2 linked regions of the Notamacropus eugenii genome follow. The protein of the gene in region 1 interacts with the protein of each later gene in a biochemical or structural test. Links are inferred from orthologs where the notes say so. Each region holds a gene or a part of one and is shown in the gene's direction. Other genes may lie near its edges.

What was found. The genes of interacting proteins can lie anywhere in the genome.
Region 2: the proteins of MAP1LC3A (region 1) and PHB2 form a complex in vitro, tested with the Homo sapiens proteins (2 studies listed by BioGRID). The link is inferred for Notamacropus eugenii from reciprocal best matches to the Homo sapiens genes MAP1LC3A and PHB2.

Annotation. Positions count from the first base shown.
Region 1 is NC_092872.1:418,666,006-418,673,116, forward strand, and holds the start of MAP1LC3A (microtubule-associated protein 1 light chain 3 alpha), read left to right. Parts: upstream 1-4,070; 5' UTR 4,071-5,175; coding exon 5,176-5,215; intron 5,216-5,883; coding exon 5,884-5,939; intron 5,940-6,009; coding exon 6,010-6,116; intron 6,117-6,875; coding exon 6,876-7,038; 3' UTR 7,039-7,111. Other genes in the region: DYNLRB1 (dynein light chain roadblock-type 1), read left to right, coding at 959-1,002. UniProt on the Homo sapiens protein: Ubiquitin-like modifier involved in formation of autophagosomal vacuoles (autophagosomes). While LC3s are involved in elongation of the phagophore membrane, the GABARAP/GATE-16 subfamily is essential for a later stage in autophagosome maturation.
Region 2 is NC_092874.1:195,386,543-195,393,582, reverse strand, and holds the start of PHB2 (prohibitin-2), read left to right. Parts: upstream 1-3,987; 5' UTR 3,988-3,994; coding exon 3,995-4,121; intron 4,122-4,327; coding exon 4,328-4,412; intron 4,413-4,681; coding exon 4,682-4,761; intron 4,762-6,645; coding exon 6,646-6,830; intron 6,831-7,040. Other genes in the region: EMG1 (ribosomal RNA small subunit methyltransferase NEP1), read right to left, coding at 1-48, 3,377-3,544.

The DNA of each region.
Region 1 (7,111 bases):
GAGAGGCCTTGGATTAAGCACTGGAGATTCAGGCTGAGATGAAGAAGACCCTGTCCTTTGCCTTCGAGGAACTGAGGAGTCCATACAGTTTGTGACCAGCCTATCCTCCCCATGGTGTAAAAGATGTCTGCATTTTCTTCTACCACACATATTCTTGCCCCCAGTCTGGGCAAATGGCTATTTCCAAGGTTGCCTTAGGGGAAACAAAGATGCTTCAAACCAGAATTTGAATCTCCCTATTCTTTAATCAATAATTTAGATAAGGGCAAAATAGCATCCTTATCAGATTTGCAGATAATACAAATCTAGGGTAGGGGATGGATAGCTAATATATTGAATGACAGAAACAGAATTTTAAAAGATATTGATGGGCTAAAATGTTGAGCTGAATTGAATAATAAGAATTTTCATAGGGATGAATGTGAGGTCTGACACTTGGATTTTAAAAATTAACCTCACAAGTACAAATGAAGGGAGGCTTGGTTAGACAGTGTTTCATCCAAAAAAGATCGGTGGCTTTTAGTGGACTGCAAACTCTGTATATGAGTCCGTAGGATGATGTATCCAAGAAGGCTAAGGCAGTGTTTGTCAGAATAAAGAGAGGGGTCACATTCAGGAGTAAAGCAACAATAGCCCTGCCATCCCTTGGGATACCCTCCCTTCCCCAGCGAAGGGGAACTGTGCAGTGGGGTGCCTTTGAAGGTAGTGGGATCCCCTTCCTGGAGGTTTTGAGGAAAGGCCAAATTGTCTCATTGGATCTGTTGTAGTGGGAATTATTTTCCAGGTGTGGGTTGGCCTGGATCTGTCCCATTCTGATTTTCTAATTCCATCACTCCTGTAACACTGAGGCTTAGGGAAATCAAAGTACTTGTCCAAGGCCACAGAGCAAATTTGTGGCAGAGCCTGGACTTGGAGTCAGCAATCAGTGTGTGACATATGTCTTTTCTTCTTTTTGCAGATAAAGATTATTTCCTGATTGTGATCCAAAATCCAACAGAATAATTTGCCATATTCGAGATGCCATATTTTTTTTTCTTTAATTTAATAGTCTCCCTGAAAGAAAGCATTCCTGTTGATTCCCTCTCACCACTGAATGGCATGTGGAAAACAATGATGATGTCAGACTGGATTTGCAGAGATCATGTGACCCAGGGCGGGGCCCAAATTGATTTTCTTAACCTTTTATCCATCTAGAATCTTCTGAGGCTGCAACTGTAGCCTTCAGTCATCAGGAAGAAAGCCCTTGGAGACAAATTTAATGGCCTGGGCTGGTACCCACACCCTAAGGTCTGAGCTCCCCTTTGGCCAGGCCTTCCCTCCTCCCAATCCAGGCTCTAGGCTTCTGGTTTTAATTTTGTTGCTGTTTTAAAAGGAACTAAAAATAACTGTAACGATTGTTCTTTTGTTGTATCTTTAAATGCCCTGGTGGGAAGGTCTGCTCATGAGTTATTGCAGGGTGGGGGTTGAGATCTGGAACCTGGATCTGTGAGGACAAAGCAGGCAGCAGGGGATCTAGGGAAAAGTACATTAGAGTTAGAAGAGCTGAGTTCTTTGTAGTCATGGGCAAGTCATTTCCCTTCTCTTGACCTCAATTTCTTCAGCAAAATGAGTTGACCTAGATAACCTTCAGAGGGCCTTCACCTCCAAATCTATGATCCCAAGACCTAGTAGAGGAGTCAGCCTGTGAATTAAATGGCAGCTTGTGGGGGGAGGGGTGAGATCTGAGGGTGTGGCCTCTCCAAGGGATTTGAAGGGGATGAACATCCAGAGGACAGGTACTGGTGGGAATGTGAAACCATCCATCTTTACATTGCAGCCACACTCAGTGGGTCTGGGGAGACTTAGAGCCCCATTGGGCACTGCTCTTGTTCCAGCACAGAGACTGACCAAGTTTCACAGGCCCATAGTAGTAGAGCAGAGGGAGGGACCTGCAAAGGATTTGGGGAAGTGACCCTGAAAAATGAGGAGGAGTCTGAAGGGGTGGCCCGAGGACCAGGAGGGAAGCCTGTGGAAGAAGCATGATCAGCTCTACCCCAGCTTAGAAGACACCTTTCTATGAGCATTTCAGCAGCACTTTCCATGTTTGGGGAAAAGACGAAAAGAAAAATTAACTGATGTCGTGAGGCCCTGGGGGATTCCCTACAAAGAAAGATTCCTTTGGGTCCCTGAGATGCTCCTGACCAATTAAAGGGTTATTCACTAAGTATTTACTGTGTGGGAGCTGGTGTTGCATCATGCAGACTAATCTGTGAGGAAAACCTGGATTCAGGTCCTACCTCATACATACTCCCCTGGACAGATCACTTAACCACTCACCACCCCAGGAAACAGACTGGATGTTACTTTCTTTCTGTATTCCTTATCAGGAACTACTTATACTTTATAAAGTCACAGGTCCTGAGCACTCTGGGGGCACAAAGACAATGAAGAGCATGGAATTCTGAAGTCAAGGTTGCTGGATGCACAAAAGTACCTCTGAGGGGCGAGGTAGCATTTAAGTTGAACCTTGAAGAAAATTTCTAGTGGAAGAGGGCCAACTAAGCCTAGAAAGGTAGGTAGGACTCTGAGTGTAGAGGCCTCTAAATTCCAGGCAGACTGAGGATGATGTACTTTGACTGGGGGCCAAAAGGAGTTATTGAAGGCTTTTGAGCAGGGAAAGGAGGGATAGCTTCTGAAGCTTGGGTGGGAAGAGACCAGGGTATGGGGACCACATAAGAGGCTATTTTGTAGAGAAAATGATTTTAGACATTTTCTGAAGATTTTTCAGCAGAAAGGCTTTACTATTAAAAGGGGTTTGGGGGATAACCCAGAGAATTTTACCAGAAAATTACTTTTTCTGGAACAGCCTATTTTCCATTTCTCAGAAACATCACATGAAATAAGGTGTTTGTGTGGCATGAGGGTGCAAACACCACTTTTAACTAACACCTGGCATGTAAGGGCCAACACCAACTTCCTGTGCATCAGGTGTAGAGGAGGATAGTGAGGCCAAGGCAGCCTTGAGGTCTGGCATATACTGAGTGATTTCCTGCCTTTATAAAAGGACATGGGCCCCTACCCTGGCACTGTGGGTAGGGTAGGGTTTTGTGATGGTCCCTTGAGCCCCAATGCTGCCATCTTTCAACTGCCTCCATCCTTTGCCTCCCCCAGTGGGACATCTTGTAGCTTAGCTGTAACCTGAACATAGGAGAGATACCCTTGACACCTCCTGGACACCAGATACCAGACTCTCTTCCCTTCTCCTCCACTGAAAAGTATCCATAGCCACTTTTTTGAGTTCCATACAGAAATGAGTCGAAGCTCCCTGGGTACCTAAGTCACTTGCTGGGACTGCTGAAGAAACTTTCTCATCCCAAGATTTCAAGGAACCAGGCAGGCCTTTGTGTGTCAGTGGAAGAGCCTCAGTTTAAATTGCTTCTTTCAAATTTGGTTATCTACATCATCCTTGTGTGTTCTTTGCAAATACTTCAATAATTCTCTCCTAGTCATTAGAGGCAGAATTCATTTTGTGCAGTCCGCTTCAAGGCACTGAGCAGAAACTAGGACTGACATCCTGATCATAAATCAAAAAAGGAAGCAACTCTCTAGAATCCTAGAATCTGAAAAGCTGCTTTTACTGAGGAAACCACCCCTTTGAAGCAGGACCAGCACTGGGACCCAGGCTTCCTGCACTCCACTGCAGGGTAAAGCCAATGACTGGTATATCGTTTGTCTCCTGACCATACCTCTTTTGGCATTCTGAGAGGAAGACCAAGAACACGTTTTTCTTTACAAATCTCCAAAACTCCCTAGTTTTTAGTAAGGCAAGAGGGGAGTTAAAGGAGTAGCTACAGGCAGGGGTGACGGGAAGGGTTAATCATTTGTTCCATCAGCAGCTTCTCTCCTCACTCCCTCTGCCCTTCTGGAAGACAGAAACTGCTTGGTAGCCTTTCCCCTGAAACCAGACGGCATTTAAACAAGCCCTCATCGTGAATTTTATATTTTGACATTTTCCTCTCAAACATCAGCGTCTGAAAATCATCTCACTCACTCCCTCCCCTCTTCCTGTCACAAACCCTGGCAAGATTTCGAGCCATGTTTTTGCTTTTATTAAGTATTAAATGCTTTCTAATTTAATTAAAGAAAAGGAAGGGGGGATGGGGGGCTGTCTGTGAAGTTCAGGTAATAAGTCGTTCTGCAAACAGGAGCAATGAACGTACTTGGAGGAGTCCTCAGAATTCCGAACCTTGCGCTCGTGAAACCAGGCCGAACAATAAGTAATCTAGGAGAGGCTTTGTACATCACCTAATTCAACTACCTGGGTGGGGGAACTGAGGCCCAGAAAAGTCCTGGGACTTACCCAATATGAGTTGGGAGTGACGTATATTGGAAAGAGCCAGAAGATGTAGTTTTTGGGTCGTACTTTGGTACTGCTAAGTCACTGAGTGCCAGGGGCAGAGCCTGGCAAGTTGGCATGTGCCTCCTCCGTTGGACTAGATGGGCCCCGAGCGCCCTCCGGCTCCAAGTCCTGAGTGTCTCTGGAAAGACCTAGACATCCTGGCCCACTCCTTGCCATTGGGATCCCTCTTCTCGAAACCAGGGCTGTGTCTCCTGGGGAACGCATGACTGGGGGGCCGTGGGGACCCCGCCTACGGAGCCTGCCGTGGGGCAGAGCCGGCACCTCTGGCTGCAGGCCTCGTCCGTACTGCTGCCGGCCCGGCCGGCGGCTGAAGGCCCGGGCACGCCCCGCCAGTCCCGGCCCGGAATGGGGGCCCCAACTTAGACCCTGAGGGGGCGGGGCATGCGACGTCGCGGTCCAGAGCGGAGATGCGCGGCTACCGGTTGTCATGGCAGCGACCAGGCAGGCGATGTCTCCTCGGGAGCCCCGCCTCCTCAGGCCTCCATTCCTGGCCCGAGCTGCCTGTGCGTCACGGGGTCAGTGGGAGGATGGGGTGGCTTTTTCGTCGGCCCAATGGCAGGGCAAGGCCAGCCTCCCCTTTAAGGAATGTTGTGAAGTGACGTCACCGAACCGAGTTACCATCTCCTCGGAGCAGCAGCTGCTCGGGTTTGAGAAGCAGAACGAGCCCGAGCGCGCGCGACGGAGAACCAGAGCGGCAGCGGCGACAGCTGGATCCCTGACCCTGAACTTCCCTTCCCGCCCCAGCCCACCCCTGCCCGACCCAGGACCCCGGCGCGATGCCCTCCGACCGGCCCTTCAAGCAGCGGCGAAGCTTCGGTGAGGCCAGGGCGGGGTAGGGCGGGGGGCTGTGGGATCCGACCGGGACTCTGCGAGACGTCCCGGGACCTGCCGGCGGGGGAAGAGCCCACGGCCGATGATGTCATGGGCACGCGTGGCGTCACGCAGATACCCGCAGGGTCCCATTGCAGGAGGGCGATTCTGGGGTCGCTCCACTTCGAGAGGTCCAGGGACGGCCTCCCGGACGGGTCCGCCCTCCCCCACCCCGAGTTTGCCCTTTAAGGGGCCTGGGGGGAGGAGACAGACGAGGCCCCTCCCCCGCAGCCCTGGAGTGTTTACTCCGAGTGTCCAGGGCGGGGGAGGGGGCTGGCTCGGGGCCAGGGAGGGTCCCGCGTCCCCCCGCCCCACCCCAGCCCGACCGTCCGCAGCGACCTTTCCCAGCCAGGCCGGGGGAGCCCTGGACCCGGGCATGGAGTTTGGCTGGGTGGATGGCTGAGGTCTCCGGGTAGCCTGAGTCTCGGTTCGGGCCGCGGCCCTGGCTGTCTACCCGGGGGCGGTGCTCGTGCTCGGAGGGGCCCCCTGAGCTGGGTCCAGGCCAGGCTGGTGAAGTGGGGCGGACGCGTGGGTGGGAGCCGCCGCCTCCTTGTTTACGGTCCGCCGCTGCGGCCCGGGGCCGGGCCTCACCCCCGCCTCCCTTTGCTTTGCAGCCGACAGATGCAAGGAAGTGCAGCAGATCCGCGAGCAGCACCCCAGTAAGATACCGGTGAGTGCCGGGGCCCGGGCCGCCCCAAGGGCCCGCCCCCCGCTTCCTCTTACCCATGCCTGTTCGCTAGGTGATCATCGAGCGATACAAAGGGGAAAAGCAGCTGCCTGTCCTGGACAAGACCAAGTTCCTTGTCCCTGACCATGTCAACATGAGTGAATTAGTGAAGATCATCCGGTAAGTGAGGCACACCCCAACTCCCACTCCCTCCAGCCACTCACCTCCCCCTGGTCTGGGCTGGAAAGCACCCGACCAGGGCAGTGCCTCGGGAATCTGACCCCAGGCTTGACAGTCCCAGCCGTGAAAGCTGGTGCCATTCCAGGCATCGTGAAATAGAGGTGGTGTCTACGACGTGGGGGAGAGGGGGAGAGAAGGTTCCCTCGTTCTGCCTCTGCCCTGGTCAGCTGACATCTAGAATACAGCATTTAATTCTGGGACCGTGCTTAAGGAGGGTCATTGACAACTCAAATCAATCCACCGGATAGTGTTTAGGATGGAAAGGAAGTAGAATTCATGCCCTGTGAGAATTACTGAAAGGAAGTAAGTTTATGTTTTAGCTTGTAGAAGTTAGGGAAGACATGATAGCTATCTTCTTGTATTAGAAGAGCTGCCATGTGGAAGAGGGATTGGCCCTGAGCCTTCAAGGGTGGGAGACAGGAGGTGGGAATAAGGATATGGAAGGAGGCACAGCTTGGGTCAGTAGAAACTGCCTAAACCCGAAACCATCCAATAAGAGGCAGGACGACTCTGGGACCTCCCACTGGGCAGGATGGATGGATGACTCTTCTCAGAGATGTTGTCAGGAAGTGGGGAGAGGGGTTGGACTAGAGAGCTCAGAGATTCCCTCCAACTCCAGTGTCAGGGCCCAGAGCTGGGAGTTGGAGGGTCTTGTTGCCTTTCCAACAGACTCCCCCGATCCTCCTCTCCCCTATGCAGCCGCAGACTCCAACTTAACCCCACTCAGGCCTTCTTCCTGCTGGTGAACCAGCACAGCATGGTGAGCGTCTCCACACCCATCTCGGAGATCTATGAGCAGGAGAAGGATGAAGATGGCTTCCTCTACATGGTTTATGCCTCCCAGGAGACCTTTGGCTACTGAGCAAAAAGGGGCAGGGAGTATCCTGGCCCTGGGAAGATAGCAGCTGGGGAGGGGGGCAGCCCAGCCCCCTACT
Region 2 (7,040 bases), on another chromosome or scaffold:
TATAGATTTGTGTTTGTCACAGTTGAGCAGTTCATAGGTTTTCCCTACCTGGGAAGAGAAAGAAGTAGAAAGCAGTAAAGTCTGAATTTAATTTTTCAAAAAGGATGGAGCACTGTATGTACAAAGACAGTTCTAAATCCAATTTAGCCCCATTTGGCTATCCAGAAATTAATAGAGTAAGTTCATGCATTGCAAGTTTTAAGTGTTGAGTAAGTTAAGGGTAATGGGAGATGAAGTAGAAAAAGTGGGAATGAAAGTAACTAATGATGAAGGGTCTTGTCATAAAATGCTGATAAGACAACTAAGGCTAGTCGGAGAGAGGCATGCTAAACTTAACAGAAAACAAGCAGACTTAACAGGAAACAAGCAAGAAACTACATGGAGGTTTCTATAATCTCGGGAGGTGGTGTGATACAATGGAAAATTCCAGTTCTGCCACTCAGTATATATGATCTTGCGCTTGTCATTCCACACCTCAGTTTCCTCATCTGGGAAGGGTTGGACCCTCCCACATCCTATGACAGGGTAGACATTGTTAAGGTAGTTGGGGAACTAAAGAGAAGGGGTGGGTCAGCAATAAAAACAAAATTCAGTAAAACAAAGTACTAAGTATGAAAAGCAGAGGTTGCCAACCTGGATTAGAGAATGGTAGTGACACTGACGATGGACTTTTAGAATTTAACTGGGATTCAGAAGACTGAGAAGCTCCTTTGTTTACCCTTCTACAATTACATGAACTAGGCAGTCTCTCAAAATCACAGTGTTAGAAATGGAAAGTACCTATAGCAAGGTGTACAAGAAGGTTGTACAAAGATCATGAGCTAGGCTTATGGGAATCTTTTGTGTATAGTGTATGATGCTAGATAAAACCATAAAGGGAAAACTTCCTGAGAACCACAACTCAGTATAGGAAAAAGGTATCTCTGAGAAAGGTTTTTTAAAAATATTAAGAGGATCCATTAGCAGCACTGCAAGAAGGTAGTGTCAGCATCAGTGTCAGAGTTTGTCAGGGATTCAGTGGAAGGAATAAGCTGAAGAGCTTTCATGCTTTCATGTTTTCAGAATCTGATTAAAACACCAAGGCATACTTTATCAGATTTGTAGTATTGAATATACCAGTAAAGAAGAAGGGAGAGAGCTGATTTTTAAAAACCAACAGTTAACACGAAAGAAGAATTTAAGTAATTTACAACTTAACTTTTCCCTCTCCCCCTCAGCCCCACAAACTAATGCAATCAATTGTCCAGATTCGCTTTTGTTAGAAATATCAGTAACTTGGACAAAATGAAATATATATAGTGGCAGATAATCCTGATAAACAGGAAACTCACTGAATTTACTTTTTTAAAAAGATAAAGGTAGGTGAGAATTTCCCCTCCCCCCAAAAAGGGTTAAGTCTTTGCATAGAGAGGTTTGCAATGAGTGATAATTCAATAATTAAAAAAAGAATCAGTGTTTTCATCAGTCACTAAATGCTGCATACAACTGTGATCTTTTAGAGGTACTGATTCATGTGGTGCAGCTATCCTGGCATAACTTGCAAAGTACAATTTGCAAGAATAGTCTTAGAAAGCCAACTGTCCTATCCATGCCACAATCAAACACCAGAATAAAACATCGAAGGCCTTTTTTAAGGTATGCTGGAACCAAAAAGGTTTGTGGGTAGATCAGACATAGAGAGGACGGACTCCCATCAACAACTTGGATTAAGGCTTGGGTGGCAGCACACTAATCAGATCTGCAGGCAGAAAAATCCTAGGAGTAGTTATTATGTTAGATGACATATGAGAGCCATAAAATTTAATAGGGATAAGTATAAAGTGTCCTTTACTTAGGTTGAAATAACCTACACGACAGGAAAAGTAATGAATAGCTACATTAAGGTCACAGCTGTCAGAGTAGTGAGAAGGGATCAGATGGGAGAAAGGTTGCGAAGGTAGAAAGGGCAAGGACTTGGCACAAGATTACATTAATCAAGTGAGGTCCTGAGGGTAACAGATAAGAACCTCCGAGTACGTCCAGGTGAATGATTTTGTTTCTGAAGTCCGTAGCTGTGATCAGTTTTGTAAATAAAGATTCATGGAAGGTGGTTGAGGTCATGCAGAGAGAAAGTCAGTGAAGAGAAGGGAACCCAGAATTGTGCCTTAGGAAACACCCACAGCTAAGGGGAGTGACAAGGATTAAGAAACTAGCCAAAGAAACTGAGAAGCAAAAAACTCTGCAAAAAGCCAGGTCAGGGTAGTGTCCCAGAAACCCAAAAAGGGTTTCAGAAAGTTGTTGCTCAATGAAAACTGGGAAGACATCAGATTCAGTGATTTGAGCGAAAGTGAAACTCACCCTAAGTTTTGTAGAGAATTCTGCCAGGATGAGACGTTGAAGTGGATAAGCTAATTTCCTAAGTCTTGGAAAAGTTGTCCAAAGGATGGCTAAATAAGAATCAGCTAAGGGAATGAAATCTGTACTTGTATGGTATAACCTTTTTGCAGTATTCAGAACCTTACGATAAAAGAAAATGAGGCTTAACTTGCCCAAAATCATAAATTTGAGTTAGAAACTGTCCTCTGTAATAATTCTAATCTCCATTAATTCTGGTGGAGCCAAAAACTGAGCCTTGCTCCTCCAAATCCAATTTTCCCATTATGTGCTAGGTGATGGAAACTACCTGATCCAAAGTTCTTTCCACTGAAACAATTTATTCAAAATATGAAACAGTTGGTGGGAAGGGAATGCACAGGTATTCAAATTAACAAATGGAAGAAGACTAGCAAGTGTTTACCATCTGTAGAAAGCAAGGGGTTAGGAGAGTAAGGAGAAGGAGGTAGGACCCCCTCCACCGGTCACCTCCATCAGCACAGACGGTAGATTTGAAGACTCAGACGGCTGGGGAGGACTGAGTATCCCTACGGGGAGGGGCGCCCAGTGTGACGGATACACACTTCCGAAGAAGCCGTCACGGCACCTTTTTTCGGGGCGGGGCTCCCTCTGCCAATACCAATCGGCCCTCCCCTCAGGCATCTTTCAATCTCCGAGAGTTCCAGCTACGTGTCCCAGGGTCACGTCGCCAGTACGTTTCCGCAGCAGAATTTGCACCCAGGTCTTCCCAACTCCAAGGCTTTATGGCGTCTGGGGGGACGGGGGGCAGGAGTTACCCTAACAGCTTAAATCCCAGAGAAGATCCATGACAGCCTGAACCAGTCCCAGGTGTAGGCTGGGGAGTGGGGAGGCGCGGAAACGAGCCCCCACAACTCCCCCCTAACTCGAGGGGTGAGGGCCAGAGAAGCAGGCGAAGCCCCCACCCCCGCTCCAAGGTCGGGCGAGTCCCTGCTGCAAGGCTGGGGCCCCGAGTCCGCTCCCCTCCTCTCCTTTCCCACGATACCTTGACGGTCTCCAGGCTGGCCCCTTCCAGCACCACCACGAGCCGCCGGCCCCCGCTTTTGCTCCCCGCTCCCAGACGCGGCCGTTTGGGCTCCGCCGCATCCCAATCTCGCTCCGAGTCCCGAATGCGCCGTTCACGTGCCTGGAAAGCATCACTGGGCGCCGCCATCTTGCAACCGGGCACAGGGTTGGAAATGGCGCCAATCTTACCCAGGATGCCTCTCGAGAAATGGGCGCGGGGACGCGACGACTTCCGCCCAGACTCCGTGACTTCCGGTCACCATCTTTGAAGAGGGCAGATGAATCGAGGGAACGATGCCGTGCCAGAGGCACCTTCCCCGGAAGACTGGGCCACGGGACAGAGGGGAGGCAACTTCCGATCACGTGGAGGCGGTGCCCGAAGTTCGGGTCCTCTCCGGATATAGGGGAGAGTTTAGGAGGCAGCGCTCTTCCGGTGCCCTTTCTCCTGGGAGGAGCCGAGTAGGTAGCGGAGCCTCGTGGGAGAGGTGCGGATCCCGGGAGCACCAGCACCGGCCAGGGCCGGGGACTGCGGAAGGGCAAGGGGAGAAGCGCTCGGCGCCCCGGGCCTAGTTCCCCGCCTCGGCGCCAGGGAGCAGACATGGCCCAGAACTTGAAGGACTTCGCGGGGCGGCTGCCCGCCGGGCCCCGAGGCATGGGCACGGCGCTGAAGCTGCTGCTCGGGGCCGGGGCCGTGGCCTACGGAGTCCGAGAGTCGGTGTTCACGGGTGAGAGAGGCGGGAAGGGCCCCCACGTGGACCCCGCCCCGCCCCCTGGGGCCCCTGACCCCGCCGCCCGAGAACTCTGACCTGTCCTTGAGTGCCCGCCCCCCCATCGCGTTCTGCCCCCTCCCCGGGCACCCACAGCTTGGCCGGGACCCCCAGTCCCCGGGCGCCCCGCGCTTGTCTTCACTGGTGTCTCCTTCCCCTTGCAGTGGAAGGCGGGCAGAGAGCCATTTTCTTTAACCGAATCGGGGGTGTGCAGCAGGACACCATCCTGGCAGAAGGACTGCACTTCAGGTAAACCGTGCCCTGCGGAGGGGCCCGTGCCCCGCGGCTCCTCTGCCCTGCCTTCCCCTACCCACCCCCCGAAAAGGGTCCCCGAGGCTTCCGCACCATCTCGTGGGTACGGCCGGCGCCCGAGGGGTGGGGAAACTCCCGTGGAAGGGCTCCGTAGAGCTAAGCCCCTTAACCCCCCTTCTGGTCTGGAGGGGGAGAAGAGAAGTGGGGTTCAGAACCCTCTGGGAGCCCCCCGTGACCCAGCCTCTTCCCGTGCCTCCGCCCCCCAGGATCCCCTGGTTCCAGTACCCCATCATCTATGACATCCGTGCCCGGCCCCGCAAGATCTCTTCTCCCACAGGCTCCAAAGGTGAGTCTGAGCCCCCGAGGCAGGAGGGGAAGGAGGTGGGAGGCCTCGGGCCCTACTGCCAGGCTCTTCCATTCGCTGCCCAGCTCCCCCTGGCATCCCTGCCCTTCCACCCGCTTGGTGCCGGTGCCTAACACATGCCTCAGGGTCTTTCTGTTCTTGTACCTCTCACCTGGGGTGTTAGTTTCTAACAGGTTAGAGGCAGAAGGATGAAGGATAAACTAGTCTTCCCTGTTTCCGATGCCCCCCCCATTTTAGAGGACACTTTAAACGTTACCTCTCTTTTCAGAAACCTTTGTTGGCTCCTCCTTGTCGGCAGAGGAAGCTTTGTGCTCCCCCCAGCCCGCGGGTGGGCTTACCGCTCTGGCGTTCTGTCTAGGAGCGCTGTCAAGTACCTTAGAAACTATCTAGCACCGCCCCTCTTTCACAGAAAATGAGGGACTCCCAGGCAGCCCCATGCTGTAGCACATGCTGCTCCGCCTCCCTTCATGTTCTCCGAGCTCCGGACAAACCACCTACAGGTCTTCTCTTCAAATCAAGTGAATTATTAAATTCCAGGAAATGTCTTGCTTCTCTTCTGTTCTCATCTCATATCTAGAGGTCCTCTAGGTCTGCCTGGACAGATGGCTTTCAAACAAGCCTTCTGCCTGCACTTTTCTCTTCAAAGAAGGACACTCTGGGCTGCTGTTAGAATAACCTTCCGTTGATAGAGATCTAGTCATGCCATTCCTTTTTTCAAAGATCGCAGATGTGTTCTGAGGAAGGAGCATGGCATTGTGGGAACAATACTGCACTTAGGTTTAGGTGGGAATACTTTCTGAGACTCTTAACTGAGTGACTTTGGGCCAGTTAATTACTCCTCTGAACCTCACTTTCCTCATCATTTAAGTTGTTTTGCATACCTTAAAGCACAATAAAGACATGAGCTTTTATTGCTGAACAATAATGTTTCATTTAGAGCCTGTCACAGTGTGCCACCACAAAATCTGCCTAGCCCATTTTCACATGCATGTATTCTGGCATTTCCCAGTTCCGTAGGTTTACGTATACTGGGAGTCAGCAATGAGTTCCCCTCTCCCTTTTCCATGGACTTCTAATCATTCAGAGGCTAGCTCCATCAGTTGGAGTGGTGCATGCATGTAGTGAGTTTCTAAAGTGAGATGTGGGACCAGTGCTCTGATTCAAGTCTGTCTACTCTTCGTGCAGCCTCTCACTCTTTCCTCTTGTCGATTTTGAAACTCCAGTTTTCTCTGCATAGTAGGTGCTTGTTGACTTGAACTTGGTTTAGTTTACTCCAGCCAGCATCAGCCCTGTATGAAGTAGTCTTAGACTTGGAGTGACTTCCCCCTACTTCTGCCTGTGAGAGCCTTCACTCTGCTACACAGTAAAAGTACATTTTATGCATTACTTTCATTTGTGTACACATCTTATTTCCTGACCTGTATTGAGAGTACGTAAAAGACCTTGCCTCGGGTGCTAAGTAAATGTGAAAGGAATGAATAAGCAAGTACCTTCTCCCTTCCCATCACCTTGTACCCTTGCCCTTCTTCCAAACCTGGCTTAGAATTCATTGCACCAAGAGTTGCAAAGCTCCTCAGTACTCTGGGTAATTGGCCACCAGAGCTGAGCTTGTCTGCACATTCCTTAATGCAACTCTCAGGTCTCCCCTGTATATTAGGGGAAGAAAAGATTCTGTCTTCTCTCTTGATCAAGTAGCTACTAAGTTTGATTTCACAAGTGCCTGGTCCCAAGCTAGGTGCTGAGAGAATTCCATACTTAATGTTCTCAGCATTGTGAGGCACTAAAGAGAATAGAAGAGAGCATGTTTGAATGAGGGCAGGGGAATCACCAAACCCTGACCAATGCTTCCTCTTGTTCCCTGCCAAGACCTTCAGATGGTGAACATCTCCCTTCGAGTGCTTTCCCGACCCAATGCCCTGGAGCTACCCAGCATGTACCAGCGCCTCGGCTTGGACTATGAGGAGCGTGTGTTGCCCTCTATCGTGAATGAGGTGCTCAAGAGCGTTGTGGCCAAGTTTAACGCCTCACAGCTTATCACGCAGCGGGCCCAGGTCTGACCTCTTCCACTTCCACCTGCCTAAGTCATCAGCGTTAATGAATTTGAAGCCCCTACCTACGTAGACTCATCTGCTAGGGAAGAGTTGTGGCCAGGTTCTTGATTTTTTTATACAGAGGCAGCTTGTAAACTTCTGAATCCTTTGGGAAAATAGGAAGAAGCAGAACAGTGACTACTTGGGGGGGGGGGGGCAGGGGGCAGCGCC